3 linked regions of the Daphnia pulex genome follow. The protein of the gene in region 1 interacts with the protein of each later gene in a biochemical or structural test. Links are inferred from orthologs where the notes say so. Each region holds a gene or a part of one and is shown in the gene's direction. Other genes may lie near its edges.

What was found.
Region 2: of the proteins of DDB1- and CUL4-associated factor 1-like (region 1) and uracil-DNA glycosylase-like, one has a biochemical effect on the other in vitro, tested with the Homo sapiens proteins (2 studies listed by BioGRID, with this or other methods). The link is inferred for Daphnia pulex from reciprocal best matches to the Homo sapiens genes DCAF1 and UNG.
Region 3: the proteins of DDB1- and CUL4-associated factor 1-like (region 1) and merlin-like form a complex in vitro, tested with the Homo sapiens proteins (3 studies listed by BioGRID, with this or other methods). The link is inferred for Daphnia pulex from reciprocal best matches to the Homo sapiens genes DCAF1 and NF2.

The regions. Positions count from the first base shown.
Region 1 is NC_060022.1:4,443,463-4,453,464, forward strand, and holds the start of DDB1- and CUL4-associated factor 1-like, read left to right. Parts: upstream 1-5,083; 5' UTR 5,084-5,212; intron 5,213-5,389; 5' UTR 5,390-5,398; coding exon 5,399-5,511; intron 5,512-5,576; coding exon 5,577-5,724; intron 5,725-5,799; coding exon 5,800-6,478; intron 6,479-6,551; coding exon 6,552-7,480; intron 7,481-7,542; coding exon 7,543-7,791; intron 7,792-7,853; coding exon 7,854-8,075; intron 8,076-8,136; coding exon 8,137-8,292; intron 8,293-8,361; coding exon 8,362-8,675; intron 8,676-8,742; coding exon 8,743-9,629; intron 9,630-9,691; coding exon 9,692-10,002. Other genes in the region: mRNA export factor GLE1-like, read right to left, coding at 47-168, 233-537, 657-1,136, 1,200-1,200, 2,819-2,877, 2,945-3,225, 3,283-3,433, 3,530-3,880 and 3 more; rRNA N6-adenosine-methyltransferase METTL5-like, read left to right, coding at 2,051-2,147, 2,212-2,765. UniProt on the Homo sapiens protein: Acts both as a substrate recognition component of E3 ubiquitin-protein ligase complexes and as an atypical serine/threonine-protein kinase, playing key roles in various processes such as cell cycle, telomerase regulation and histone modification.
Region 2 is NC_060023.1:11,045,776-11,055,341, reverse strand, and holds uracil-DNA glycosylase-like, read left to right. Parts: upstream 1-3,635; 5' UTR 3,636-3,808; coding exon 3,809-3,937; intron 3,938-3,999; coding exon 4,000-4,188; intron 4,189-4,261; coding exon 4,262-4,412; intron 4,413-4,485; coding exon 4,486-4,528; intron 4,529-4,590; coding exon 4,591-4,679; intron 4,680-4,776; coding exon 4,777-4,955; intron 4,956-5,022; coding exon 5,023-5,172; 3' UTR 5,173-5,492; downstream 5,493-9,566. Other genes in the region: beta-TrCP-like, read left to right, coding at 1-86, 151-276, 338-472, 541-815, 887-964, 1,026-1,356; BTB/POZ domain-containing protein KCTD5-like, read left to right, coding at 1,825-2,022, 2,082-2,378, 2,446-2,565, 2,625-2,654; ragulator complex protein LAMTOR2-like, read right to left, coding at 2,858-3,004, 3,064-3,190, 3,258-3,293, 3,373-3,440; lactosylceramide 4-alpha-galactosyltransferase-like, read right to left, coding at 5,532-5,862, 5,918-6,552, 6,627-6,782; probable ribosome biogenesis protein RLP24, read left to right, coding at 7,507-7,587, 7,646-8,113; crossover junction endonuclease EME1-like, read left to right, coding at 8,378-8,487, 8,554-8,622, 8,692-8,959, 9,027-9,200, 9,285-9,457, 9,523-9,566. UniProt on the Homo sapiens protein: Uracil-DNA glycosylase that hydrolyzes the N-glycosidic bond between uracil and deoxyribose in single- and double-stranded DNA (ssDNA and dsDNA) to release a free uracil residue and form an abasic (apurinic/apyrimidinic; AP) site.
Region 3 is NC_060022.1:2,535,900-2,545,886, reverse strand, and holds merlin-like, read left to right. Parts: upstream 1-3,315; 5' UTR 3,316-3,535; coding exon 3,536-3,622; intron 3,623-3,685; coding exon 3,686-3,815; intron 3,816-3,881; coding exon 3,882-4,087; intron 4,088-4,142; coding exon 4,143-4,267; intron 4,268-4,334; coding exon 4,335-4,437; intron 4,438-4,532; coding exon 4,533-4,742; intron 4,743-4,808; coding exon 4,809-4,915; intron 4,916-4,988; coding exon 4,989-5,118; intron 5,119-5,188; coding exon 5,189-5,320; intron 5,321-5,383; coding exon 5,384-5,635; intron 5,636-5,695; coding exon 5,696-6,012; intron 6,013-6,074; coding exon 6,075-6,234; intron 6,235-6,292; coding exon 6,293-6,343; 3' UTR 6,344-6,653; downstream 6,654-9,987. Other genes in the region: N-acetylglucosaminyl-phosphatidylinositol de-N-acetylase-like, read left to right, coding at 1,359-1,594, 1,685-1,794, 1,942-2,035, 2,113-2,212, 2,278-2,374, 2,450-2,580, 2,653-2,760; ATP-dependent RNA helicase DHX8-like, read left to right, coding at 6,953-9,961. UniProt on the Homo sapiens protein: Probable regulator of the Hippo/SWH (Sav/Wts/Hpo) signaling pathway, a signaling pathway that plays a pivotal role in tumor suppression by restricting proliferation and promoting apoptosis.

The DNA.
Region 1 (10,002 bases):
AACAAAATATAAATAAAAGAAGATGATGGAATCACAAATAGCTTACCAGTTACTCGATCGATTTTCATTTGAATTGTCTGAAGAAACGATTCCTTATTCAGACACGAAATTATTGATTCATCAAGAGATTTTAGCATCAATTCTAACTTTTCAGAGCAAATTCCTTTGCTGTAACAAGAAATCAGAATTGTTACTGAAAAATAATTTAAAAGCTATGACAAGATAAAGTTACCGTCTTTGAGCTTCGACTATTTGCAATTCTAGTGTTTTCTTCTTTAGATCTTCTTGCAACTCTTTTTCCTGAATAGACTGCACTTCTCTAAGTTTTTTATCTATTTGGTCTTCTTTCTGTTGAATACGTAGTCTCGCTTCGTTTTGAAGGCGTTGTATGGTCATTTCGACATCAATCTGGGACTCTGTTTTTGGCACCAATCTTTCCTCCAATTCTTGTTTTTTTCGCAAACATTCTTCATCATCATTTCGTCGGGAAGACTCTTTGAAGTCTTCCATTTTTTTCATGAAGCTAGATGCCACAGACTGAAAGTTAAAATACATAAATAATTAGTACACACATTTATCATTAAAAGATGAAGTATTGAATGCTTGCACTAAAGCTTCTAAAGTAAAGCAACATATATAGAGAAGTTTAAGCTTACTGAACGTTGTGCCTCCTTCAATTCAAACAGCTGCATGATCATGTGATTACTCAGGTTATAGACTGGTGTAGTTTCATCCAACTGGTTGGTATTACGCATCAATAAAAGTTCCTGTTGCCATTTAAACTGGTTTATTCTTTTTTCAGTATGTTGTACTGGAAAGTCCATGAAAAAGCTTGATCTATTATTTAAGCTCAGAGATGAATGGTGTAAAGTTGGCTGGTGTGGAAATTGCTGACTGTCAATAGATTTTTCTGGAAAATCCACAGGATTCCGACTAAATACATCCTCAGACAGGAGAACGCCGGATTTACTGTTTGATGTCGATTGATTGATGGGTAGCAAAGGAACACGATCGTAAACTATTCGTCCCTTCGGTGTCCTACTTAACGATGCGACAGTTTCTCTCAAAGGAGATTCAGCCATTCCATGTTCGTTATTGTCATTCATTTCTGAACAAGAGTCACACACAAATATCGACTTTAAAAATTGTAAAAAGCTTCGTATGCCCGTTCGCATTTGAAAAAATTACTCTGACAGGACCCTACAAGAATTCCTCCTATTTGAAATGAAAGTTGTCGTCTGCAAAAGAAGGCGGTGCACCGTTGCCTTATACAGCATGAAATAGTCGTTGAAATAGTGAGAAAAAATACTTATTTGGTTATTGATTTGCCTATTTTTATGAATATTGTAATATAATTAAAAAGAAAAAGAAAGCTGAACCTGGGTGAACGCAAACCCAAGTCGCCAACGAGCCAGCCTAGTTTTAAATGGTTTGGCAACAGAGCAGCACAGCGACAGATTCTTTTTTTTTTCAATAAACAAGCGAGCGAAACAAGTAATTTGTCAATTGTCATTCAAGCTTTAGCGTTTACACTTTACACGCTATTTCTTATTTTTTTTTAAACGGTAGAAGATAATGACGTTTCAACCTCCTGCAACTCGTCAAGGTATTTCAATTATAAAGCAAAATATTTTGACAGCAATAACCTAATGAGCTCTTTCGTCTACCAAGATCAAAGCCGTAAAGTCCTAGAAGAAGTTCAACTGCAAAAGAAAATATTGTTGAAACAAGGTATTTTTAAAAATTCATAATAAAAAACTAGTAGTAACCTTTTTTTTCTTTAAATTTAGGTGCAGCTGTCACTCTGAATCCTGCTCCAGTTTCAACTGCTATACCTGTAAGTAACTATATTAGTGCAAAGATTTTGTTTTCACATTTTGATTTTAAAATTGTGTTCACAGAGTACATCTGATTCACTGAACCCAGCAATACGCCATGCATTAACTCAAGCCCAAACTTCTTCGTTTGGATATTTTGTGGCACAAGATTCATCTTTTGGAAACTTTATCTTGCCAGTGATTCCCAGACTTGAACCATCAAAATAAATAGAATGGCAAAATTAATGAAAAGAAAAGAGTTGGAGCAGCATCTTCAAGAACTAGATGGATTTTCAAAGCCAAAAATCCTTCTTGAGCAATATGAAACAAGTATTATTTTAGTAACAAGTATTATTATTAATATTATTTACTTTACTTAGTTTTATATTTAAAGGAGCTCACATTGCTGCTTGCATGCTGCACACCATTGAAAGTGCCTATGGAGATCTGTATCAGAAAACTGTGCTTGATTTGGGGTGTGGGTGCAGTGTTTTAGGAATTGGATCAGTGTTATTGGGAGCCTCGTATGTTTTAGGAGTGGATATTGATGAAGAAGCATTGCAAATTTCAACATCTAACATAAGTCAATTCGAACTAAGTGAAATCAATTTACTTCAAGCAGATGTGAAGCTTTTACCTCAAATGTTGGAAGGGACCAAAAAATTTGACACAGTCATTATGAATCCCCCTTTTGGAACCAAGCATAACAAGGGATTAGATTCATTATTTTTAGAGATTGGACTTCAATGCCTCAACGAAAAAGGCGTATTGTATTCTCTACACAAGTCTTCGACACGAGACTATTTTCATCGAAAAGCCCCTGGCTGGAAAGTGGACGCCCGTGTTTTGGCCGAGCTCCGTTACGATTTACCAGCAACATATAAATTTCACAACAAATCATCAGTAGACATAGAAGTGGATTTTTGGAGGTTTGAAAAGAAAAATTAATTTGTATTTCAATCAATCGAGAGAAGAAAATAAAATAAAAGATTGGCAATCACATGCGATTTTTTATCTTCTTCAACATGTTGTTCTGTTCGAGGGCCGCTTTTCTCTTTCGCTATAAGAGGGAAAATATTTAGGTTTCAATTATTGTTTTGCTGAGTTGATTTTTTTTTAAAGCGTACCATAGGTGTAGCAGCAGAGCCAACAACGTCAATAACTTCAGACAAGGCCTTGGGCCGGGCTGATACGTCTTCTGCTGGGATTGCTGGATCATTATTGGAAAGCAATGAGGCTGGGATCTCTAGTGTTTTTCCAGGAGCTAAAGCTTCATATTGATGTCGTAAAGCTTGTAATTCGTATTCACAAGTTGAGAGACCTAGTTTCAGTTCGTACAAAAGGACTAAATCGCTCCGAAGCTCGTTAAAGTTCTGGCAAATCTCTTCGGTTGGCATTGGATTTAATTCTAAATCAATGCATAAAATATTAATATGCAAATTTTAATATGAAATGTGTGTCGTACCCAAGCCCAGTTCTGTTAGCATTTGTTCTATAGCTTTGGATTTTTTCTGGCCCACACTAGGCGGCAACTTCATCCGCTGTGAGCGTAAAAATACACCACTGGCTTTAAACTCCGGAAACTTAATTCCGCTATTAGGTGTCTCCACGGAGGGCTGCTCATTAAATTTCATGAAAAATTTCATCATTTAATGAGTTAAACAAAGAAAAACTATTATAAAAAAATAAATAAATAAATAAAGCTTGGTTACCAGGAGCTCAAGTTTTGCTTTAGGTGTAGCAAATGGGGTATTTTTCTTTCGAATTTGTTGTTTTTTGTCGGGAGGTGTGCCTCGATGGGTTGCAGGGGAATGGTCTGCCGCAGCAGCAGTAGCTGAACCTCCGCTGTCCGCAGCTGTTATCAATTTCTGGAGATCTTGTGTTTTTCGTTCTCGATCTTTCTTGCGGGCTTCGATTTTCCTCAATTCTTGGAGTAGATTAGCTTCTTCCTCGACTTGTTCTGACGTACGTTCGAATAGCCTCTTTAACTGCTCTTTACGACGTTTTTCATTGTCGGCATCGTAAGCAATATTCTTTGGCTCTGGTCCTGTTGTATGCCTTGCCTTAAAAAAAAATATACAGTTATTTTTTTACTAGGTAACACAGACACAAATATCCTTTACCTTGTTTAATATGTTGCAGATATCATAATATCTCTCCTTCAAGTCTTCGATTGACCTTTTTGAGAATCGTGTACTATCCCAGCGGTCCTGAATAACGGTGAAACGAAGATCAAATTGCCGACAGAGGTCAAACAAATGATCTGTTTCTTGCTTTGTCCAATTATCAAGTTGTAGTAATTGATATTCTTGATCAGTGTAAGAAAATATATGGACTTGCTAAAAAAAAATATTTTTATATAAAAGAAATTTTCAAATCAATTAAAAAAGATGGAAATCAACCTTGTTAAATTTAGCAAATGGATACTCTTTCCCTTCATCTGCAGCTCTACGCCAATGGTGAAATACAGCTCCATCTTTCCGTGCTGGGTTAGTAAAGGGCATCCACTTCCAAGGTCTCACTTTACGGACACCTAAATGAGCTTTTGCTTGCTTGTATCCTTTACCTGATTGGAAATATTTATGAAATCTTTGGCATACAAATATTTCTTTCCCTTACTGGAAGCACACAAATTGCAGACAGACAAAGTTGTTACCTGTGTCAGTTGGAAATAGAGGAGCTGCATCTTTACTATCATTGACCAAAAGATTGAAAAGTTCTCGTGCCATTCCCTCAGGTTTACGTAAAACTTCATTTTTAGGTTTGTATTTAGGTTTCGGTTTTTGCGTTCCCATAATACTTTCTTTCGTCACTTCTGGAGTTCCCGGTCTCCCTAGCTCCAAGATATCCAAAACATCAGCCATTTTTACTTTATTCCTCTTATGCCCGACGTTTTGATCCGACACGTGTCAACACTTACGACAAGAATGTGAGTAACTTTCAAAGTTCAAACCACAAAATATTTGAAGAAAATGTCACATAACAATCGTAAAAAAAAAACGTCCACAAAGATTCACAAAAAGGACGACAAAAGCAGACACAGTTTTTTAAGCACGCTAGGTAACCATAAGAAAAGCTATTGTTGTCAAGTTTATTGAAAAATCCAATTGTGAGAAATATCATTCAATTTGTAATATGAAAATTTGCTAGAAATTTTAAAAATATTTTAGCTATAATTTTATCATTTAAATCTGTATTCTGGAGGTCTAACTTCCTCAAACAAGCAAACAATGGAATTCGCAAGAATTTTCCAAAATATTAATCTGACAACGTTTTTTTCTCAAGTCTGCACATAGAAATTACACAGAACGTGGTGCACACTTCTGCAGCAATTTCAAAGAAACTTAATTTTAATAAGGGAAGTTGTAGTTTCAGATAGACGTAACAGTTCGAAGGTGAGTTTTTGTTGTTTATAATGCAATAGTTTTTTTTTAACTTATGGTGAAGATTTGTGACCCATTGAAGTTATTCTACTCGTGTTGTGAAATTGTGATTGGGTTCCAAAAACGTCCTTTTGTGTTTCATTTTGGCGTCGATAAGTTTCAGCTAATTTGTTCTTATTTACATTTAAGTCATCCAGTATGGCGAACGACACCGTAAATCTGACTGAAATGTCAGATGTCAGTGCTATTTTGAGGTTATTTGAGGAACATCATGTAGCACCAACATTTGATCCTGTTCCCTATCTTTCTAGGTATGTGTTATTTGTTTTTTTGCAAGATTTTTTTTTTCTTAATCATGTTAATTTTTGTTTTCAAGACTGGCTGAACTTTTGGAAACAGAAACAGAAAATTACCTAAAAATGGATCCAGATCCTTTTGATGATCGTAACCCTTCTAGGAATCCAAATTGCAGCTTTGGACACATGCTTAAAATAATATTCAAGAAGGAAATTTTTATGCAAAAAGTATTATTTTCATTTACTTGGCCTTGATCTTCATTCTAAATATAAATGCTATTTTTTCATTTTTCTTAATATTAGTTAGTTGGAGACTATTTACGTGACACTTACTGGACCAGATTAGGCATTTCTACCAGAGATTCAAGGGAACTCAATACAGCTGCAGCTCGTCTTGTTCTAGATTTAATGCCAGGCTTAGAAGTATCTGTGGTGTTTCAAGACACAGAAGGATTGATCAACAGACTTTTTAGTTGGGCAGAAAAAGGTCCAGAACCACTTCAAAGCTACGCTACTGGTTTGCTAGCTGCTGCGATGGAACTACAAGACTTGGCTGCTAACTTTCGTGAGTTAAACGCTCATCTAGCACCGTTAATGTTGAAAAGGTTATGGGAAATCCAAAAGAGATGTGCCGAAGAAAAGAAAAATGACGAACTCGGAAAAATCAAAAGATTTTCAAAATTTTCAAGCGACCAACCGAGTACCTCGAGCAAAACCCCAAAGAATACGGCGAGTAGTAAGAGTCGAGCATCTTCCAGTTCAAAGGTCCCAAAGGATGAAGATGCTGAATTAATGCCTGGACCAGAACCGGCCGATGGAGCCTCCGATAAAGGAAAATTGCCAAAGAATAACAAAGCAAAGAAATTTCAAGGCAGGATTAAAGGTTCCAAAGAGAGAAAAAGTGGAAATGCATCTCTGAATGGATCAGCTATGAATGATTCTAGCAACTCGTCTTGGGCCGAAATGGAATCATACGTCATCGGTAAAAGATTATTCTCCATGCAACAAGTGTGTCTGTAAAGTTAAAAAACTAACACTTCTTACTTTATTTATAGGAACGTATCAAATGCATCCATTGACGGACTCAACTCGGCAAATCTTAATCTTGCGATATTTAACACCCATGGGTGAATATCAAGAGTTACTAGTTCACATGTTCGAGCAAAAGGCGCTCGACCTTATTCTTAACTACATCGACTTTGACGAGACCCAAGATTCGCGTTTATCGTTCGAAGCACTTAAATATCTCGGAGCACTGCTTTGTCACAAAAAATTTGCCATCGAGTTTATTCATCATCAGGGATTGCATCGCTTACTTGAAATTCCACGGCCGAGCATTGCTGCAACTGGAGTTGCCATGTGTCTTTATTACATTGCGTATTGCGAAGATGCCATGGAGCGAGTCTGTCTCTTACCAGATCACGTCATTCAAGAGCTAGTCCGATATGCTCTTTGGCTACTGGAGTGTTCGCACGAATCTGGACGTTGTCACGCTACCATGTTCTTTGGGACATCGTTTCAGTTCCGCATTATTTTGGAACAGTTTGACGCCCAGGATGGTCTTCGCCGGTTGTACAATATGATCAGCACTTTGTCAATACTTTCAATGGAAGATGCAAGTGATTTGTTGGATGATGACGAATCTCATGCTGCACGCCAAACCGTTCGACACGTCTGTGCGGCGCTAAAACGATACTTTGAAATTCATCTGGCTGGGAAAGTTGAACATCTTCAACGGATCAGAGTTCGTGAAATGGGTGGTTCTCCCCATCCGTCAACACCTCCCTACAAAGCAATCAAGCTTAATGCAGATCAAATTATCGATCTAATCACCACTGCTCAAGAACTGCTTCCGTTTCGGGCAAGTTGGTCACCCGTCAATGAATTTGTTAGCCTCGGGGGTATCCCTCTGCTTCTACAAGTTATTGCAATATCCTACCTATGGAATTTTACCGGACGTGCCGAGACTGTTCGCAGCGCTTTGGTAAAGAAATTAAATATATTCTTAAAGTTAAATTATTAAATATATTTTATTTTATTTTGCAGGATGTTTTAGCCGTTTGTTCTGTTTCTTTCAGAGTTCAGATGCTATTTTGTGATCGTATTCAAATTCCGGATGACGCCAATGCTGTAGGCATTAATATTCTACTTGGAGCAGCTGAAGGAGACATTGTAGCTGACCCCGAAGTTCAGCGTGCCGCTCTTTGCGTACTCATTCACTGCGTTTGTGCTCCCGTCCATCGAGTTGGAGGTTCTGTCGGTAGATTTAATGGCAGTGCCAAAAGACGCAGCGTGGTAATTTCAATGATATTTTCTTATTGTAGAATTTATGTATTTACGCATTGTGCTTTGTATAGGCTAGTCGAACGAGCGAAGAGGTTCTCAACCAAGTTTGGGAGTGTGTACGATCCCACAATGGAATCATGGTGTTAATGGACCTTCTATCTGTTAAAACACCCATTACGGATGCTGACTCGATTCGCGCTTTAGCCTGTAAGGCCTTGTTAGGTCTTGCACGCAGCGAAAATGCTCGCCAAATCATGGGTAAACTACCCTTGTTCACCAGCGGTCAATTGCAGGTAAATCATAAAAAATAATTTCTTATTTTGTAAATTAATATCAACCCAAATTCTGTCTCAGGTTCTCATGAGAGAACCAGTGTTGCAAGATAAACGTCAAGAGCACGTCAAGTTCCAGAAATTTGGATTGGAATTGTTGGAACAAGTCTCCGGTCGAATCAAGTCCAATGTCAACGAATTTGAGTTATCCTTAGCCAAGATACACAAAGCAGATGTGGTATGAAAAATAATTATAATAAAGAAAAGTTTCCGTTTTTCAAGTATTTGAAATGTCGTGCTCCATCAGGTTGCACAGACGCGTATCCAGTTTAACGAAAAGCAGTTACTGCAGTTGATCCACCAGCATCTGTTAAGCAAGAACATGGTTGAATCTGCTTCAATATTAATGAAAGAAGCTGGACTCCCTCCACTTCCTCTAAAGCAAGCCAGCTCTAACTTCCCGCCTTATCGAGCTACCGGAAATACTCCCTCTACTCCAAGCAGGACCGGACGTGTTAACTCACAAGGAGCTGTAGCACTTCCTAGTACTCCAGTTGCAGTCCCCTCGACATCTACGCCGACGCAACAAATGGGAATAATTAAAGTGAATTTGTCTAGCAGGTGAAAAGAGCTATAAAAATGAAATATCTATTTTTTTTGTTTACTTATTTCACTTTTTTGCGTATAGTAGGCGTTTGAGACCAGGAATGCCTTCACCTGGCCCTCAACCGGGTGTTAATTCTCAGCACAGGGCTTTGCAAAAAGTCACTAACTGGGATTCGCCAACCACTATGAACAAATCACTCGGAGCTGCTAACGTCAGTACTGGTGAAACATCTCGTGGCGTGTCGTTAGACGCAATTGTCACTGAGTACTTGATGAATCAGCATGCTCTGTGTAAGACACCGATGGTGACTTGTCCACAGTTTGACCTTTTCCAACCCCACAAATGTCCAGATGCTAAATCAAAGAACACGGCTCCAGCAAACTTCGCATTAAGAGTTCAAAAGCGAGCCATCCATCCTCGGTTTGGTGGTCTCGATGGAGCCAGAATGGACCGCAAATTGGTTTACTCTCGCTTCCGACCTGTTAGAACGTTTCGCAATGACTCTGAAACGTTTACTTGCTGCGCTTTTTCACCGTGTGAGCAATTTCTTATGATCGGGAACCAAACGGGCGAGTTGAAGCTATACAATGTCAACACAGCTGTAGAAGAAGCAACATACCAATGCCATGAAAACTATCTTTTCAACATTGAACCAAACTGGACTGGTGACCTTTTACTAACGTCAGGAATGTACCGACCCCCTTATTCATGCCTGTGGGCTGTCGGTGACTTTTTCGACATGAAGTACTCCTTTGAGGAGGAAGAATACGTCGAATTTAGTAAGACAGTTCAAGATAAAATTGTTGGGACTAAAGGCGAAACTGCCACTGTATATGATGTGGCCACTGGTAAGAAATTGTTAAGCCTTACTCCCACAACGTCCAACAACTATTCAAAGAACCGTGCCACCTTTCATCCTAGCGATGAGTTGATTCTTTCTGACGGTGTTTTATGGGACGCCGTATCAGGTAACTATTCTATTTTATATGCGTATCGAGCTGTTGTTCAATCCTATTTTTCCATAATCTAGGGACACAAATTCACAAGTTTGATAAGCTTAATCAGTCGCTTAGTGGAACTTTTCATCCCAACGGATTGGAAATCATCTCAAGTTCAGAAGTTTGGGACATCAGAACATATCATTTACTACGAACCGTTCCAACCCTTGATCAGTGTCAAGTCACATTTTCAGCTTCCGGTGACGTCATTTACGCAGTTCATTTGGAAGAAGAGAGTAGAGAAGAACCGATGTACGATTCCTCTTTCAAGACACTAGACGCCGGCGATTACTCCTCTATTGCTACGATTGACGTCAAACGGTGTATCTATGGACTGTGTTCC
Region 2 (9,566 bases), on another chromosome or scaffold:
TAAAACTGAGCGACCAGTACATCGTAACACGTCAAAGTCCCCAGACGATCGAGATCTTTAATAGATGGACTTTGCAGTCGGAAAGTGTAATAACTGAAACTTCATTTGTAAATTCCATACATTTAGAGCTGAATATTGATTGAATATTAGATTTTCGATATTGGAGTCGATAGTCACAGAGCTATGATGAAATCTATCGATTTGACTAGCGAATATCTTGCTCTTGGATGCAATCGTGGAAAAATCTTCGTATTTTGTATGAAAACAAAAGAATTGGTAAGAGGACTTTTAATTTTGATCATTTCCACAATAATAAGAACAGTGGTGAATGCGGAAGCTTCACAAACTTATAGACGATCCAGCCTTATTAAACTGTGAAAGCTTCGCTCAGGACGTCATGGCAAGCAGGGTGGATTGCAGTTACTTGCGGTTTAGTCCATCAGGAAAAACGCTGTTGTCGTGTATTACCAACGTAACTTAACATAATTCTAATTTACTGTTGTGAGTGAATCATTAATGTATTTCAATTTACACTTATAGAACAGTTGTCAGTACGAAACCCTCTCGTTGCGGAAGATAATATCGCCCCGAGAGTGGAAAATAACGCACCAACAGACTATTCACCAGTTTAATGTGCGCCGAGTTCAAATGGATGACTCCTATATTTACCTACAAGGTGGCAATAATAAAGGGATTCAAGTTCGATCAGCAAGTTCGCTTGAACTGATTAATACCATCGCCGAATCCGAAGCTTTTATTAAAAGTTTTCAACCCTACGATCGGTGGATTATTATTGCTGGCCGTGAACAAATCAGGTAAGATTCGCGCAAAAGCGTAATTGCTACCTGTTATTCATACGCTACTCTCTTACTCTCTTTTCCTTTAGTTTATGGGACATCGAACTTGGAACATGCATTCGACAATGCCAAATGAATCAAACCGATGGAGATATCAAAACCATTGGGTAATGTTTTGTTGTTTCTTTCTAACGAATCAACACTAAAATTATCATTTTTTTTTTACAGGCTGGTAGGCGAAAAATACATAATTAGTTGCCACGTGAATTGTTGGTCTTCCGACTTTTTCCTGTTAGGGGTGAACGTTTGGGATCTTGAGTCGTTAATCAATTCTCAAAAAGAAACATTGAAGCCAACTTTTACGTTTAGCGTATCGACTCAATCTTGGCACGAAGCAAGCGTTGATGGTATTCGGGACACGTCGGTGGAAAAGCTAAAAGTTTTTGTCGATGATTATCAGATTGGATGCCTTGTTACATGGGATTTTGACTATGAGAGGCGTGAAGTGCCAGTACCAATGTTGTATTTCATGGACTTTACTAATCATTTTGAAACCTAAGCTTCAAATCGAATATTTTGCTATTCTATTTTTAAAATGTATTATCTTTAAATTTTGTTTAAATGTTTTGTTTCAAATTCAATTAAAAAAATTAAAAAAAGAAAATTATTCATTCATTCATTTCAACCCAATTGAAGGAGACTCCTCTAGATGGCACCACGGCTGCTTCGATAATCGATTATCTTTATCGATTCAAAGTTGTATATTTTCGCATTTTTGTGCGTCGAATTTTTATTTAGTGAAACCAAATGTTAATGAACGATTTGAATCTGTGAAACTCGCTATTTTAGTCCTATACTGGTAGGTGATTCTTTTGTGCAAATCGTGACTGAGAGTGTAAGAATAGAATTGTTGATGACTTTTAGTCACAATCCATATGCTGGTTAGCAGTCGATAACAACGGTTCTTTATTGTTTGAAAAAAGTTGTTTGAACGCGACTAATTGATTTTTTAAAATGTATTTTAGAGATGGCTGAATGTCCGGAGATGAACGGGATTGCAAATAACATCGTTTCAGAAAAGTGGGTTGGCAGCAGAAAGTCTGAATGGATACGTTTGAATGTGGGGGGTCACCACTTCCTTACCACCCGAACAACCCTTTGCAGAGATCCAAAGTCTTTTTTCTTCAGACTCTGTCAAGAAGACAACAATCTTGCCTCAGATAAAGTATTACTTTATATAACCTCAATTTTAACTTGAAAATTATGCTCTTTATTTTAAACTAGGATGAAACAGGTGCCTTCATGATTGATCGGGACCCTACTTATTTTTCACCAATATTAAACTTCTTGAGACATAGCAAACTAGTTATTGATAAAAACTTGGCTGAAGAAGGAATCCTAGAGGAAGCTGAATTCTATAATATTACTGAACTCATCCAGTTAATTAGAGATAAAATAAGACTAAGAGATGAGGTACCACAGAAGGAAAGTAGGAAGCAAGTTTACCGTGTATTACAGTGTCATGAGGATGAATTAACTCAAATGGTTTCAACTATGTCTGATGGATGGAAATTTGAGCAGGTGTGTACACACAAGACAATCTTATTAGTTACTACAGACTATTTATTCTAATCTTTTTTTTATATAGCTAATAAATGTTGGGTCACAGTACTCTTATGGGAATGAAGACCATTCAGAATTCCTGTGTGTTGTATCAAGAGAGTGTGACAAGAGAGAAAGAGAAACAGAGCCTACTGATAGAGCCAAAGTAAGTATCTGCAATTTACTATTGATGGAAGCATTTAAAAATGTTGTTTCTTTATTTAGGTGCTTCAGCAGAAAGGGTTAAGAATGTAATAAGCTATGGGATTTTTGTACCAGGAACCAAATACTGAACTAAATTTATGCAGAGAACCAGCCTTGTGGGATTTTATCCACGTTGCAGCCATTTTGACACTTCTTGTTCACAAGTGTTGCTTTTTATTCACAAGTGCAATACAACTCTGCTTCACAGCTTCATTAAATTTTAGGAGATCCAAATTTGTATTATAAAAAAATGTTCATGATGCTGCTACTTGACGAAGAGGAGAATCAAGATAGTCTGCCAATGCCTTTGCTTTAGCATGAAGCATTCCAAAACACACATTTTCTTTAGCATAGAGACATAGAAGTAAATTAGCAACTTGGGCAATCACCACTTTCCCATCCTTTAAAGGCATTGGCAAAATTAATATTTGTGTTTACTAAACTTTAAATTGAATAATACCATGCAATCAAGAAGAACACATTCCAGGACATCTTCATTGAAGGCAACTTTCCCATTTTTAGCATATGCTGACCAAATGTTGCTAGCTATCGCTGCTGTCACTCGTGCATCCTTGTCCCCATAACCACTTGAAAGCCACAAAATTGTTTAAACACTATAAACAAATGTAAAACATTTTAACACATTTTGCTCACCTGTAAGCTAGCAACGCCCCCTCCGTATTTAAAAGCCTGCATAACAAATTAAGATAATAAATAAATAAAAATAACTAACAATCGTTAACTATTTTAAGGTATCACGCCATATTACAAAGTGCTTAAGATTCCGCCAGTGTTTGCTTGAGACAAGACTTGAGTAAGAGCTTTTGGTTTTAACATTCTTTAGATTTGTTGGTATCTTCTGTTTTGACACAAGCTGAGTCAGGGCTGAGTACAGCTGTTCAGTGTTCACTACTCCTCTTAGTCTCTTACTAAAAAAAAAAAAAACAAATGAATGCGGATGTTTCCTACATAACCAGGCCAGGCTGACAATCTCTTCTTCAGGCAGCGGCAGCGGCAGCGCCCCTTCCGTTGACCAGGGAATTTTTTCTCACTCAATCTTGTCAAATTCTTCTGCTGTAGGTGGCCTTAATGTATTCATTTCAGATTGGTCCAAAGGTGAATTTCGCGCCCGATTATTTTGACTTTGGTGTTTAATTACAATCATGATTACAATGAACTAAAGTTGCTTCTTGAAGTCAGAAATCATGCCGCCTCAAAAACCTTTGACTCATTTTTTTAAACCTCTTCAAAGTGGAGGTGTGAAGCGTACATTCTCAGAACTTGTGTCTGGCAATAAGACAGCTGAAGCCAAGAATGTTCAAATTGAAAACAAAGTAGGTTTTTTTGTTCTGTGTATACATGCCTGGTATTTTTTGTAAAGTCTATTCATTTTTAGCCTGTTGGAGAAAAATCTGGTGAGAAGACTGAAGTAGTTACTCCTGAAAAAAAAGAAAGAATGGGCACTAACCACTTGTTAGCGAAAATAAAATTGCAAGCGAAGAATACTTGTGCCTTACACCATAGTATTGGTCATTCATGGTTTCAAGCAATTGAGCCAGAGTTTAAGAAACCCTACTTTGGTGAAGTATGTACATGTTTCTTTTTTTTTAACTTTGAATAACAATTATTTTCATTTACCTACATTATTTTGTTTTTAGCTTAGTAAATTTCTGGGTTCTGAAAGATCAAAGTCCACCATTTTCCCTCCAGAACATCTTGTGTGGTCTTGGACCCATTTCTGTGATATTCAAAATATCAAAGTTGTTATTATTGGTCAAGATCCATATCACGGTCCTGGTCAAGCTCATGGTATAGTAAAAAATAATTACTTTTATGGCTTTTAAGATAAAGAATTGACATTACATTTTTGTTTCATAAAAAGGTTTGTGTTTCAGTGTTTTGAAAGGAGTTCCTCCTCCCCCAAGGTAATATTTAAAATTTTTACTTTAAAAACTACTGTGTCTAATTTTTGCAAAACTATTTGAAGTTTGGTAAACATCTTTAAAGAGCTGGCTTCAGATATTGATGGTTTTAATATTCCTAAACATGGTAATCTCACTGGATGGGCCAAACAAGGTAGACATTTAAACAAAATCAATCACAGTTTAACGTTTGTCTTAATCTTCAAATAAGAGTCACGTAAAATTGTTATATTGATATTTCACATATTTAGGTGTGCTCCTTCTTAACGCTGGCTTAACGGTCCGATCGGGCGCAGCAAATTCGCACAAAGACAAAGGCTGGGAAACTCTGACGGATGCCGTGATCCAGTGGATTAGCAGTAACTGCCAAGGTGTTGTCTTCCTTCTTTGGGGTGCATATGCCCAGAAGAAAGCTTTAGTAGTAGACAAGGTAACCAATTCATTTGTTTACGACTTCATGCTTAATTAATGTTTTTTTTTCTTTTCTTTTTTTGTAGAAAAAACACCACTTGCTGAATGCCCCTCATCCTTCTCCACTATCTGCTCATCGCGGATTCTTAGGATGTAAACATTTTTCAAAATGTAATGAACTTTTGCTCAAGCAAAACAAAACACCAGTTGACTGGTCTAAACTCCCCATTGAGTGAACAGTCAAACCTCAGGTTATAACAGTTTTTACATTCACTCTTGCCTCAAATGTTTTCAACCATGATATTCATGTTTCAAAACGCGATTCACAATGCATCTTAAACCAAGAGCAATACTAATTTTACATTTAAAAAAAAAACAATTTGTTAATTGCTGATGGATCTTCAGTAATTTTCTATTGCCAACAACAATTATGGATATGCTGATACTAGAAAGTTTTGCTGGCATTTTTTAGTCGCAGCGCAATGCATTTATGTATTTAAGAAAAACTTGTATTCTTTGAAGAATGAACCTTGAAAATAAGAATTAGGAAACCAAATGTTGAGAGACGGTTCTACCGCTGTAGAAATACGAACTATTAAAACACATTAGGAGCCATCGCAAAAATCGAAGGACATTGGGAACGAGCAAGTTTGGTGTATACTTGTTCGGAAGTTTTTGAAACTGCTTGGCCAGCGCTCTTTTGGTTCCATACGTGAATTCCAATTGTGTCATTATCCCACGTAATATCTTGTTCCAAAAAATATCTCAACCATTTAGGCCATTCGATTGGATAAAATGTTTTTGGAGGAAGAATCTCAAAACCGTAGCAGCTATCAGAATTCATTTCGGCAATGTTTTCTGTCAAACACCATTTTGTCATTACGCGAGTCAGGAGCAATGGGCCATTGTGACCCCAAATATCCTTTCTGAAGTAAAGAAAACAGTTAAGTCATCTAGTTTGGGAAATTTTCGTGTACACACCTGTATGTTTCTCGGAACTCCTCCACTGCCATGCGGATAACAGGATGTAGGTAATCAACGTGAAGTGCTCCAGCAGCCAAATTTTTCTCGTTTTCCGCCACGATGAAGTTTCGGTAATGTGTCACTGGTTGAACCATTATTATATCCAAATCAAAGTAATAACCTCCGTAATTGTACAGTGTTAGGAACCGGAGTGCGTCGCTCAGATGAGACACGGCAAATGAACCGTAATTCCAAGTAGAGCAGAAATACCATTGTCGAAAAGGCGAATGTATGAAGTAATCACCTAAATTAATATTATAGATTTTTATGTTTTCGTAATTTCCCAACGTTTTCATAGTTGTAGAATTCCAATCAATATCTTTCCCGCTCATTAGCAAAATGACGGTCAAGTGTGGGTTCATTATTGCGAGAGATTCAACAGAACAGGCTTGGCGGAAGTCAAGTGCCCGAACACCTGAGGTTTCATGAAAAAATGCCTTCTCTTGATCACGTCGAGGAAGTGGAAATTGAGGTTCGAACAAGGGACATTTCCATAAGCAATCCGGTCTGCCGCAAATATCAAAGGAGTTATGGATGCTTACGCAACATCTACCACGATCAGCTCCCGAGACATATATCACCGGATGGTTCATCTAAAAACGAAATGTTTTTACTGTTCCCAATTTTTTAAAGGTGATTTTAAACTTTTTGGTAAGCCGACACTAACCGATCTGACGTAAAAATCTGATTGCATTACAAAATATCCTGTGCAGATGAATATCCCCACTACCGTAAAAGTAAGTAGGAGACGCCGTAAGAACCCCATCCTCATTATTTTACGGAAGATGCATCGAAGTAATGGTTTAAGCATAATTCTGGCCATATCTAACGGCTAAACGTTATCCGAGTAGCAGTTTGTACAGAATCGTAATTTTTTGGTGTAGGAAATTGAATCGCTCTTCTGCGTGATGTTTCATGCCGGAATTTATCTAAGCCTAAAAGTAATATTTAAATGACTTGATTTGCAATATTAAATAACTAACACATTTTTACTCTTTAGTGTTGTTACAAGATGTTACCAGTAGAAGATCCATAATAATTCTTGAATATTTCTACACTTGTTAAGGTGTGACCATCATACAGAACGGTCAAGCTCGACACAGCAAACGAAATGGAAATGACATTTGCTTTTGTTAACGTTGAAAGTTCGTAGCTAGATAATAAGGTAAGGCTTGAGATAACGATAAGATGTGTATGCGGTGTAAATAAACGAGGTCGTAAATATCCAAAGAATTTAAAGGGCTATAGGCCTATAGCTCTGTTCAGAGATGCGTCGTGGAACCACATTAAAATGTCCTGCGCTTTTAATTGTGTGATGTTGAAATTTAACGTTTTTACTCCATCTAGATTTTTGAAATTCCATGTCTTATCAAAATTGTGATTGGCGGAATGGCGGCGAAACCAGAGGACAAAACAATTGACAATCTACGCCCGCAAAAACGTGGCTAGAAGTAGGTTCTTGACTGATCCGTAGTACTTAGTCGGTCCTTCTTCACTAAATAGAGGTAGAGAAAAACCACGTTGTGTGTGGTTGCTCTTCCGTCAAAATGCGTATCGAAAAATGTTACTTTTGTTCGTCAAATATATGGCCTGGCCATGGAATGGTTTTTGTTCGAAATGACTGCAAGGTGAGAAGGTTTAAATAAATTACACCGTGAAACTTTCTAACTCATGTTTGCGTTCTAGATTTTCAGATTCTGCAGGTCAAAATGCAAGAATGCATTCAAGAAGAAGAAGAATCCTCGTAAGACCAAATGGACTAAGGCTTTCCGTAAATCTGCAGGCAAAGATCTGGCCATCGACCCGTCTTTCGAATTTGAGAAGAGGAGAAATGTTCCTGTAAAGTATGATCGGGACTTGTGGCAGAAATCTGTGGAAGCCATGAAGAAGGTTGAGATCATTCGCTGCAGACGTCAAGCATTGCACATCAACAACAGACACAGTAAATCAAAGGAAGTCCAGAGAAGAAGCGATAATTATGAAGTCACCAAGAACATGGGTCTAATCCGGTCCCCAGCAGCTGGATTGAAGCAGTTAGCAACACAGTTGGATGGAGAAAAAGATATGTCATTGGTATCCTCCAAATTCAAGAAGATGGAATCGCGAGTTGTTGAAGAAGTTCATGATTCAGATAGAGAAATGGATGTAGAATAAAAAAATGCAATGACGAAAAACAAAATACATTTTTCCCGATTCGACGTTAACATACAGTATTGTCATTTAACACTAGGTGGCGATTTAAATCGACGGTTTATTGGTTGATTTCAGTTTCTGTTTATGTTTGTTTGAATTGAGTTGTTTGTTCTCAGAGGTCAGATGTGCTTGGTTGAAATAGTTTTAAGACAGTGCATTGTCATTCGAACAAACAGGTGGATAGTTCGAATCTGGTTGATGAAACTCTTAAAGTAACAACGTAAAATGGCAAGTGAAATTGTCGTATTAACAGACTCAGATGATGATGTTCACTTCTGTGGAATTTCTCCGGGTAAGAGGAATGTTTTACACGAAGCCCTAAATTCTGATGACGAGTAAGTACATAAGTTATTGAGGTTAGTTCTTCCAAATTAACTGTAATGTTGCTACAACATTTCCAGGTTGATGAATCTAGATTTGGATTCCCCACCACGTAACAATGAAAATAAAGATGAAGACTTTGATTTTGAGTGAGTAACCTTTTTCCTGTTGTAAGTAGTAATGTAAGCAAGAGTAACTTTCATTTCAATCAAATTCAGAATTCTGGAAACTGAAGTAAGAACAAGTTTAGCAGAAAGATTAGGTTATGAGACTTACACAACAAGGCTTGTTTCTTCTGAAACCCAAAATGCCAATATACCAAAAGTTAATTGTCCCATAACTGAATCTGTAAGCAATTATAATCAGCCTGCAAAAAAAACAACTAAAACAAAGGAGGACAAGGCCTTTGACAAAGCATATGATAAAGCTTGTAAAGCAGCAGAAGCAGCAAATAAAAAGTTCAATAGATCATCAGAATGCCTTAAAGTTTGTAGACACATTTTACAGTATGTGATTAGATTGTGTATTGATATTTTTTATGTTTTCATTATAGAGTCTTACAGCACTTATTGATTCACGCCTACTGGATTCAATCTCCAACAGTGGCAGCATTTTAACTCAACTCCAAGAATCTGAAATGAAGCACTCTATTGTTGTGTCTTCAGTGTCTAATTCAGTGTGTTGGAAGAGGGAAAAAGTTAATCATCGTGTAAATGAAGATGCCAAGGTGATTTTTTACACTTTTTCCTATGTAAAAATTTTGCCTATAAACAAGGTAAAAATATTAAATACATTATTGATCAATTAATAGGTCTGTTCGACATCTACGTTTGTTGAAGAAGATGAGGGATTGGTTGTTATGTTAGCCCAAGAATTTGTTTTACTAGCCCAATCTTCAATCTGTGACTGTGTCAACACAATTTTAAGAAATCTAAAGAAAAAGAAGCTTACCCTGGTCGTTTATGGCCTGTCTGCATACCTTAAGTAGTTAATTTACCATCTGTTAATATTTTGTTATTTTATTAATCCAAAATGAAATGTGCTTACAGAGACCAATCCCGCAAGGAAAAACGGCGATTTCGTGAACATGTCT
Region 3 (9,987 bases), about 1.9 Mb from region 1:
ACAAACAATAGTTTACTTTAGCTATTAGCCTTTTTGACACCTTATTGACATAGCGTCATAGCATTCTCTTGTTTTCATGTGATAACTTAATCAATAACTTTGTATGTCTACAGCAGTCCCTCGTGAACTCAAACTCGCAAGGCTCTAGCGTTTATCCGTTTTTAATTCTCCGATGGCATTATACACATCGCCATATTTGTATTGTTTTTAGGTTATAGCTCACGTATTTTGAAAATGAAGTTCAAAGTATTACTTAACCAGTTTTAGCTTGTTTCACCTTTTGATATAACAATTTAAAAGATGTAAAAGATTAAGGCGATGACAATATCCAATTACTAAAGTATACAGAGACAAAGAAGAAGTTGGGTTGTACTTTTTACATCACCGCTGGATCCGACTGGATCAGCAATCACTCGAGTTATTGCATCAGGGAAAAAAGGATAAGAAAAATTGTATATGCCTACTATTTCTATACTGTGCTGTTGCCTAGCGACAGCAACGAGTTGTCAGGGTAGCTTTTTTAATCTTTTACAGCACATGACTGTTTTGATCCTAACTAGATGCTTTGATACTGTTAGGACTACTTAGGAAGGCGAATTACTCTTGTGTAAATACACGATTAGCTAATGCAGTCATTAAGAAGTTTGCTCGCAGTTTTCCTTGAATGTAAATACAATGTTTAGCATGAAGTGGCGCTGCTTTTCCATAACATACTCAGACTCCTGCTGCACATTTCTGATCTTTATAGTCAAGAAGCGCCCACGACTACTCGTTCTGTTTCATCTTTCACCTGCTTTAGTAAACATTTTGATTATCAAAGGATGTGGCGCATAGTCCATAACGACAACAAAGTGCGAGCCTATAAGTCTATAACCATGACAACACACGGAATATACTGTACCACTGTACCTTGTCATAATACGTGATTTAAAACGTAGCTACATTAGTAGTCTGTAAATAATCGTTAGCTGTTTGTTTGAGAAATTTCATCTGCAACGTTGCTTCTGCTTCGTTAATTAGAAGAGAATTTGTTGATTGTGGCAACTATCTTTCAAGTTAAATAAGCTTACAGGCTTACATCACGGCCAGTAGCTCTTCATTAAGTATACCGGCCGGCATATTATCTTGATGTAAATTAGCAGAAGTAAAACGTGAAATTGAGTTGCAAGATAAGCTCATAATTTTTTGGTGCTACTAGGATAATTATTTATTTGTGCTACTAGGATAATTAAAAGAAACTTTGTGCGGATTAGCATGGTCTATTTTGTTGTTGAAATAAGTTTTCAAATTTTCATTTTCTTTATTTTCACATTAGGCTAAAGTCGCTAAACAGCTAGCAGGTAGCAGCTGTAAAACGAATGCTGTCGTCTGCTGTAGGATTGTGTATTTTTGAATTTCGAAGAGCAATTTCGGCTTATCTACTTATATTTATTTTTAAAATGTGTTGGTACTTACTACTTATACTAGGAATTTGGACTTTCGTTTCCTTTTTCACTTACCGATATTTGAGTCAAAAGAAAAGTTTGTTTCTTAAAGAAGTTTTCTTTAAAAAGCTTAGCAATGTCTTGTTCGTCATTGCTCATCCGGACGACGAGTATGTTTTGTTAATTGAGATATACATTTTTATGGAATACCTTAATCTAACTTTTTTTCTCTTATGCACTTATGAATGCATGTATAATAGATGCATGTTTTTTGGACCTGCCATCACAGCACTAGTCCAACCATCATTAAGTGATTCTTCGTCCAGGAAAAAGAAAGCAAAGGATATTTACATTCTTTGCTTGAGTGATGGTAAATCAATACTACATATCACTATTACTATACGCTTACATGAACTATAGCTTTTTCTTTGGACTCATATACTTGTCTGTTCGTTACTTGTGCTTAAATTCAAACGTTATAACAATATTTCTAATGTGTGAAATTCACTATTTCAAGGCAATGCTGATGGCTTAGGTAAAACAAGGAGAGAGGAACTAAAAAAAAGTTGCAAGATTCTTGGACTAGCTGATTCCAATATTATAATTCACAGGTAAAAATTCATTCAAACATTCATAAATTGTTGAAATTTCTTAAATTTTCTTAAATTTCTACATTATCTGTGAACAGTGGACCTCCTTTCTTTGAAGATGATCCACATTCTTTGTGGGATTTCAAATCAGTTGCAGATACTTTGAATATCTACATTGAAAAATTGAAAATTGACAGTGTAAGTATTTCAGGAATAGATTAATAGGCTTAACTAACAATACAATTTAATGCAATTTTTTATAGCTCATAACTTTTGATGAGAATGGAATCAGTGGCCACCTAAATCATAAATCGATTTATCAGGGGGTGTTGCAATTAAAGAAAGAAAGCAAAAAAAGAGGTATTTAAACTATATTATAGTGTGCATAATTAAATGTATTGATATTTAAAAGATCGTCTTTAATTTTTCCAACAGTTACTGTCCGAGTTTTCATTTTGGAAACGGTCAGTTTGTTTCGAAAATATTTGGGATTTATTGATTCGATTTTAATCAAACCTAGTGCATTAATCTGTACTGCCGATTGGGTTAATAGGATGAACATTCAGGTATTTTTTTAAACAGTTAATAATGTCAATTAAGACTTTTGCTAAATAAATTAATTATGTGTTCACGTTTAGAGAGCAATGGCAGCTCATGCTAGTCAATATGTTTGGTTTCGCCGTTTGTACATCATTTTTTCAAGATACTTATTCTTTAACACATTCATTCCCCTTGAAATTTACTAGCTTAGCTACTGCTTGTTGTCTCAGATATGCACCTGGAAGTGCGGTGGTTGGAAAATTTAAATCCTATCGATTCGATGCATTTTGGACACGGGTAAATTTACTCAGATTTTTTTGATCCCTTCAATTTTATGGATGTTTATAATTCCCTTAACAAAATACCTAGTCTTTTCTCTGGAGTGTGTAACATAAACAAAAAAGGGTATGTTGGCTCTTGTTTTTTTTTCCCTAATGAATTCTCACACGTGGCTGCTGTGTTTAACTTTATTGCATTTACTAAACAAAATTTAAAATATTGATGTTATCAGATGTTAGTGGTTGAAGTCAACAGTGCACGTAATGTATTATTTTTATTTGAATGAAAATGCAGTGAACAATAATACAATTTTGAAATTCGTCATACTCCTACTATACATGTATTCAACTATTTTCTAAAGCATGACATTTACGCTGTAATTTTGTGACGACCAGACATGAAATGTTTCTTTTTATAAAACTGAAGAAAAAAAAACGATTTCCCGCCAGTAGTTTCATGTTGTCCCGCCAGGGTCCAGATGGCTGTGCACTGTGGCAATAGTCAATAGATGGAAAATCCCATCGTCTGCAATCAAGCCTGTTTTTGTTCATTTTCCGTTGTTTTGTATCAGCTGAAAGAACAGTATTTGTTAATTCTGTGTTGATTCTACAAATGGAATGAATCAAAATGAAGACGTTTTCTAAGTTTTATAAGTTTTTGCATTAGATTTGTTTGATTAAGTTTAGGTCTCGGTGTGCTAAAATGAATTTCCGCCGGAAGCACAAATCGTCAAAATGTTTTCCAGTAAAAATTCTTACCCTAGACGCACAACTTGAATTCAACCTAGAGGTTTGTATTATTTATTCACATAATCATGTTCATGTAAAAAACTGACAATTATAACTCTTGTAGTGCAAAGCAAATGGAAGAGATTTATTTGATCTAGTGTGTCGAACTATTGGATTAAGGGAGACCTGGTATTTTGGGTTACAGTATGAAGACTGCAAAGGATTTCTGGCGTGGTTGAAAATGGATAGAAAAGGTGAGTGTTAATGCTTATTATGTGTCATTCACCTAATAACTGTTTGTATGGCCATAATATCTATAGTTCAGGACCAAGATGTGCCCAAAACAACTCCTGTGCCTTTTGTATTTTTGGCTAAGTTTTATCCCGAGAATGTGGCTGAAGAGCTGGTTCAAGAAATAACTCAACATTTGTTTTTCTTGCAAGTAAAGCAGAGTATACTCAACATGGATATATACTGTCCTCCTGAAATATCAGTCTTGCTTGCTTCATATGCTTTGCAAGCCAAGGTAATATTATTATATCTTGGGTGATTTTCCACAATTAATTTTTCCTTCCCATTAGTATGGTGATTATGATGAGGCAGCCATGAAACCTGGTCTCCTTGGTACAGAAGACTTACTGCCTAAGAGAGTTCTTGATCAGTATCAAATGACAGCTGAAATGTGGGAAGAAAGAATAAAAATTTGGTAATAAGGATCATCATTTCCATTTTAACCGTTTTATAGACTTAAGACTTTACTTTATGTTATATAGGTACGCGGATCATAAAGGTCTCAGTCGTGATGAGGCTGAAATGGAGTACTTGAGAATCGTACAGGATTTAGAAATGTATGGCGTTAACTATTTTCCTATAAAAGTGAGTTTAGAAACCCTAGCTAAAACTAAAATGCGTGTATATCTTGCATATTGTTAACTTGTTTTAATCTACAACTTATTATTCTATTTGAACAGAATAAAAGGGATTCCGAGTTGTGGCTTGGTGTTACGGCCCTCGGTCTGAATATTTACGAGCAGGATAACAAATCCGTACCGCGCATTAACTTTCCCTGGTCAGAGATCCAAAACATCAGCTATGACGACAAAAAGTTTGCCATTAAACCAGTCGACAAAACTGCACCCCCTTTTATTTTCTATTCGGATAAGCATCGAGTCAACAAATTGGTAATCCATGATTTTTACATAAATGAAAAAGGATAGCGAATTTTATTTCCGCATTTTTATGTCTAGATCTTAGATTTGTGTATTGGAAATCATGATCTCTTTATGCGTCGGAGGAAACCGGATTCAATTGAAGTTCAGCAAATGAAGGCTCAGGCTAAAGAAGAGAAACTCAGGTAAATTTGACCTTGACAAGTTTTGTCTTATTCATTGTTGAGTTCTTATTGTGGTTACTTTACCGTTTTTCAGACGACAGAGTGAAAGAAATAAGCTTGCACGAGAGAAGCAACTACGCGAAACAGCTGAACGTGAAAAAGCAGCCCTAGAACAACAGTTAATTCACTTTCAGGAAGAATTCCGTGTAGCGAACGAACAGTTGGTATGATATTCTTCAGTTTAATTTTTAGTTTTAGTATCAAGTACAGTATTTCATTATACCAATTTTGTAGAGGCGTTCCGAAGAGTCGGCTGAGCTGCTGGCCGAAAAGGCGCGAGTTGCAGAAGAAGAGTCAATGTTGTTAACTCAAAAAGCCTCAGACGCTGAACAAGAGTTGCAAAGAATTCGTTTATCTGCCATGAAAGTAAGTGAATTTTTTCATAACTTATTTAGGTAGCTTTACATTTAATTGTCTTTTTGCGTCTAGACCGAAGAGGAAAAACTTTTGTCTCAGAGACAATTACATGAGGCGAAGCAAATTGCCTCAAGGTTATTAGAGAATTCTGAGCGTTGTGCAGCAGAAGCAGAGCAGCTAAAAGGTGACCTTTTGCAGGCCCGTTACGCTGAAACTCAAGCCAAAAAGAAGCTACTAGAGTTTTTAACAACACAAGCTAGTGTTGCAGCCTTACACTCGGCATCTCGTCCAATTACACGCATCCCGTCGTCCGCGTCTGTCCTGGTACTTTGCAGTTTCTGTCAACATTTTAATGAGCGAATAACTACAATTACCATTTTTCAGTCTGTTCCCAACTTGTTTCCGACATCAAGTTCGTCGGTAGCTGGATCAGACCACCATTTACATCATCAGTCGGACATTCAGCAACATTTACGACGACTCGACGATGTCTCTAACGAAGCAAGTTTGCCGGCTTATGAGGCCCGCCTTCCTATTCCGCTGGCTAATCAGCTTACTGGCCTCACCAACTTAACTGGCTTAAGTAGTAGTGGATATCTATCAGCTATTGCTGCTTCCGAACTGGTCAACTCTTCATCCAACTATGACCTTATGACACATGGCGATATGGAGCAACTCTCACTTGAAATTGAGAAAGAGAGGTTGTAAATCTATCGTAGGAATTGTTGCGTAATTGTTTGCTCATTTTTTAAAATAAATTTAGAGTCGAATACTTGGAAAAATCGAAGCAACTGCAGGAGCAACTGAGAGAATTGCGTACAGAGATTGAAGTCTTGAAAGTAGGTGAAAAACAAACGCTTTACGATCAGCTACACGAAGAGCAACTCCGTTCAGGGGACGACAAATACTCAACTCTCAAAAAGGTACGCATGAATGAGAGTCATTAATTCAAATTTGAGTTAATTTTTCTTTTTTTCCTAGTCAAAATCTGGATCGACTGGAGCGCGCGTGGCCTTTTTCGAAGAGCTGTAGCTTAAGTCATATTTTTAATTTTACTTTTGACAATGTGTTGTACATAAATTTTAAATTGGCTGACCATTTTCATGGATGCAACTTAGTTTATAATCTTTAATTCACTAAGTTGCCCATTTTCGTGAAATCTTATCATCATAGACATTAGACAAATAGACTTTCATTTAAAAAAAACTTAACTCTTGTTGACTAATGAGTAATGTCTTTTACTAGTAGCAGCATCGGCGTTGTTTACATTCTTATATGAATTTTGCAAAATGAACCTGTATGTCTAGAATACCAATTCAATATGAACATGGAAAAGTTTCATTCAAATTCAAACACAAAATGCAGAGAACCGAGAAAGATTAGATAATTCTTCATTTCAATCTGTGAAACGCAAAAGTTAACAAATTCATTTCGAAAAAATGTAAATATTTTTTGCGCGCAATGTTGCCAGTTCATCTATTAATTTTGATTTTTCTTTTACAGCATTCTTGCAACGTTGTCTTAACAACGAAAGCATTCGTTTTTTCGTCGGCTCGTCAATTTCCACATTCGTCGCCATCCCAATTGTTGTGCTGTCAATTTGTAAATGATTTAATAAGTGGCAAAATATCCTATATCATCATGGATGAATTAGAGAAACTCGAACACCTGTCGCTTGTTTCTAAGGTGTGCACAGAATTGGAAAACCATTTGGGACTCAACGATAAAGATCTGGCAGAGTTCATCATCGCATTGGCCGAAAAACACAAGACCTTTGATGAGTTCAAAAGTGTAATGCTGGAGAATGGCGCCGAGTTTTCAGACTCTCTCATTGCAAATTTGCTTCGTCTTATCAAACACATGAAATCAGCCAACTCGAAAACAACTGATGTGAACTTAGCCCAGGTAAAGAAAACAGTTTACAATGCAGAAACAGAGAAGAAACGGGAACTCTTCCCTGGTCTTGCCTTAGCAGATAACCCTAAGGCAAGAACAATGCTTCTCGAAGACATAAAATTGACTATTAAAGATGTTGAAGAAGCTAACGATTTAATGGCTGAACTAGAAGCCATGGCTCCTAAAGAAGAAAAGATTTCTACTGAAGCAATCGAGCCTGTTCAGGAAAGAGCAAGGAGTAAAGACAAGAAGGAAAGAAGCAGACGTTCAAGAAGCAAGGACCGCAGCAGAAGATCAAGAAGCAGAGACCGCAGCAAGAGATCCAGAAGCAGAGACCGAAGTAGAAGGTCAAGAAGCAGAGATCAAAAGAGGAGATCAAGAAGCAGGGACAGAAGTCACAGGTCCAGGAGTACAGATAGAGGAGATCGAAACAGAACAAGTGATCGTCATCATGATAAAAGAAGTAACGAAGGCAGACGAGAATCCCCAAGTCGAAAGAAACCTCAAAAAGATTTTCCAGAGAATCCAGAAGTGGGAAATGTCTACGCGGGAAAAATCATGAATCTTGCAGCTTTTGGTTGTTTTGTACAAATTGAAGGAATACGGAAAAAATGTGAGGGTCTAGTGCACATCTCCCAGTTGCGACGAGAAGGCCGTGTGAATAGTGTGGCTGAAGTTGTCAATCGTGGAGATAAGGTTCATGTCAAAGTTATGAGCATTGCTGGCCAAAAGATCTCTCTTTCTATGAAAGATGTGGACCAAGACACTGGCGAAGATTTGAACCCAGCTCCTTCGACGTCAAGCCGCCCTGGACTAACCAGCCAGGAAAGTGAAACAGCTTTAAGGAATCCAGATCGACCTCTCTCATTGCTAGATTTGAAGGCAAATGTAGAGGAGGATGAACTAACCAACCGCAAGCGTGTGCAACGGATTTCGTCTCCTGAACGCTGGGAACTGAAGCAAATGATGGCAGCAAATTGTATCGACAAAATGGACTTGCCCGAATTCGACGAAGAAACGGGTTTACTGCCAAAGCTGGCCGAAGACGAAGAAGATATCGAAATCGAGTTGGTGGAAGAAGAGGCACCCTTTCTTCGAGGTCACGGTCGAGTGCTTAATGAACTTAGTCCGGTTCGTATCGTCAAGAATCCCGACGGTTCTCTAGCTCAAGCCGCCATGATGCAAGGCGCTCTCAGCAAAGAACGCCGCGAACAGAAAATGTTGCTCAGAGAAGAACAAGAAGCAGCTGACGCACCGGCTCAAGGCGCCAACAAGACCTGGATTGATCCCATGCCGGATGCTGGGGCTGCACCGTCAACGTCGTTGGGTCGCGGAACGGGAGCCCCTGTATACGACATGCCCGAATGGAAAAAGCACATCACTGGTGGACCGAAAGGAGCCTCTTTCGGCAAGAAAACTAGTTTGTCCATCGTCGAGCAACGTCAATCACTTCCCATCTACAAACTCAGAGATGAACTGATCAAAGCTGTCAATGACAACCAAATCCTAATTGTCATCGGTGAGACGGGCTCGGGAAAAACTACGCAAATCACTCAATATCTATCCGAGTCCGGATTCACGGCTCGTGGAAAGATCGGCTGTACGCAGCCTCGTCGTGTGGCCGCCATGTCCGTTGCCAAGCGAGTTTCGGAAGAGTTTGGTTGTCGTCTAGGACAGGAAGTTGGATACACGATTCGTTTTGAAGATTGCACCAGTCCTGAAACTTTGATCAAGTACATGACGGATGGTATGTTGCTGCGTGAATGCTTGATTGATCCCGATCTGCAATCGTATTCCTGCATCATGTTGGACGAAGCCCACGAAAGAACTATTCACACAGACGTTCTTTTCGGTCTTCTCAAGCAAGCCGTCCAGAAGCGAGCCGAACTCAAACTCATCGTAACGTCGGCCACTTTGGATGCCGTGAAATTCTCGCAGTACTTTTTCGAGGCGCCCATCTTCACCATTCCGGGTCGAACTTTTCCCGTCGAGATATTGTATACTCGGGAACCTGAGACGGATTACTTGGATGCCTCGCTCATTACCGTCATGCAGATCCACCTTAACGAACCACCGGGCGACATTCTTCTTTTCTTGACTGGTCAGGAAGAGATCGATACTGCCTGCGAAATTCTATACGAGCGCATGAAGTCCATGGGCCCTGACGTTCCTGAGCTCATCATTCTTCCCGTCTATTCCGCTCTACCGTCTGAAATGCAAACTCGAATTTTCGAACCGGCTCCACCAGGCTCCCGAAAAGTTGTTATCGCCACCAACATCGCCGAGACCAGTCTTACCATCGACGGTATCTACTATGTCGTCGATCCTGGTTTTGTCAAGCAGAAAGTCTACAATTCCAAGACCGGAATGGACTCTTTGGTGGTGACACCCATTTCACAGGCGCAAGCCAAGCAGCGAGCTGGTCGCGCCGGTCGTACTGGACCTGGAAAGACTTACCGCTTGTACACGGAGCGAGCTTATCGTGATGAAATGCTTGCCACGCCTGTTCCCGAGATCCAGCGTACTAATCTCGCTTCCACTGTCCTGCAACTCAAAGCTATGGGCATCAATGACCTGCTCAACTTCGACTTCATGGACGCTCCTCCTGTGGAGTCACTTATCATGGCACTTGAACAGCTGCATTCCCTTTCCGCTCTAGACGACGAAGGATTACTCACGCGTCTTGGTCGACGTATGGCCGAATTTCCTCTGGAGCCTTCTCTCTCCAAGATGCTCATCATGTCTGTTCACTTGGTATGATATTATCAACAATTGTTCCT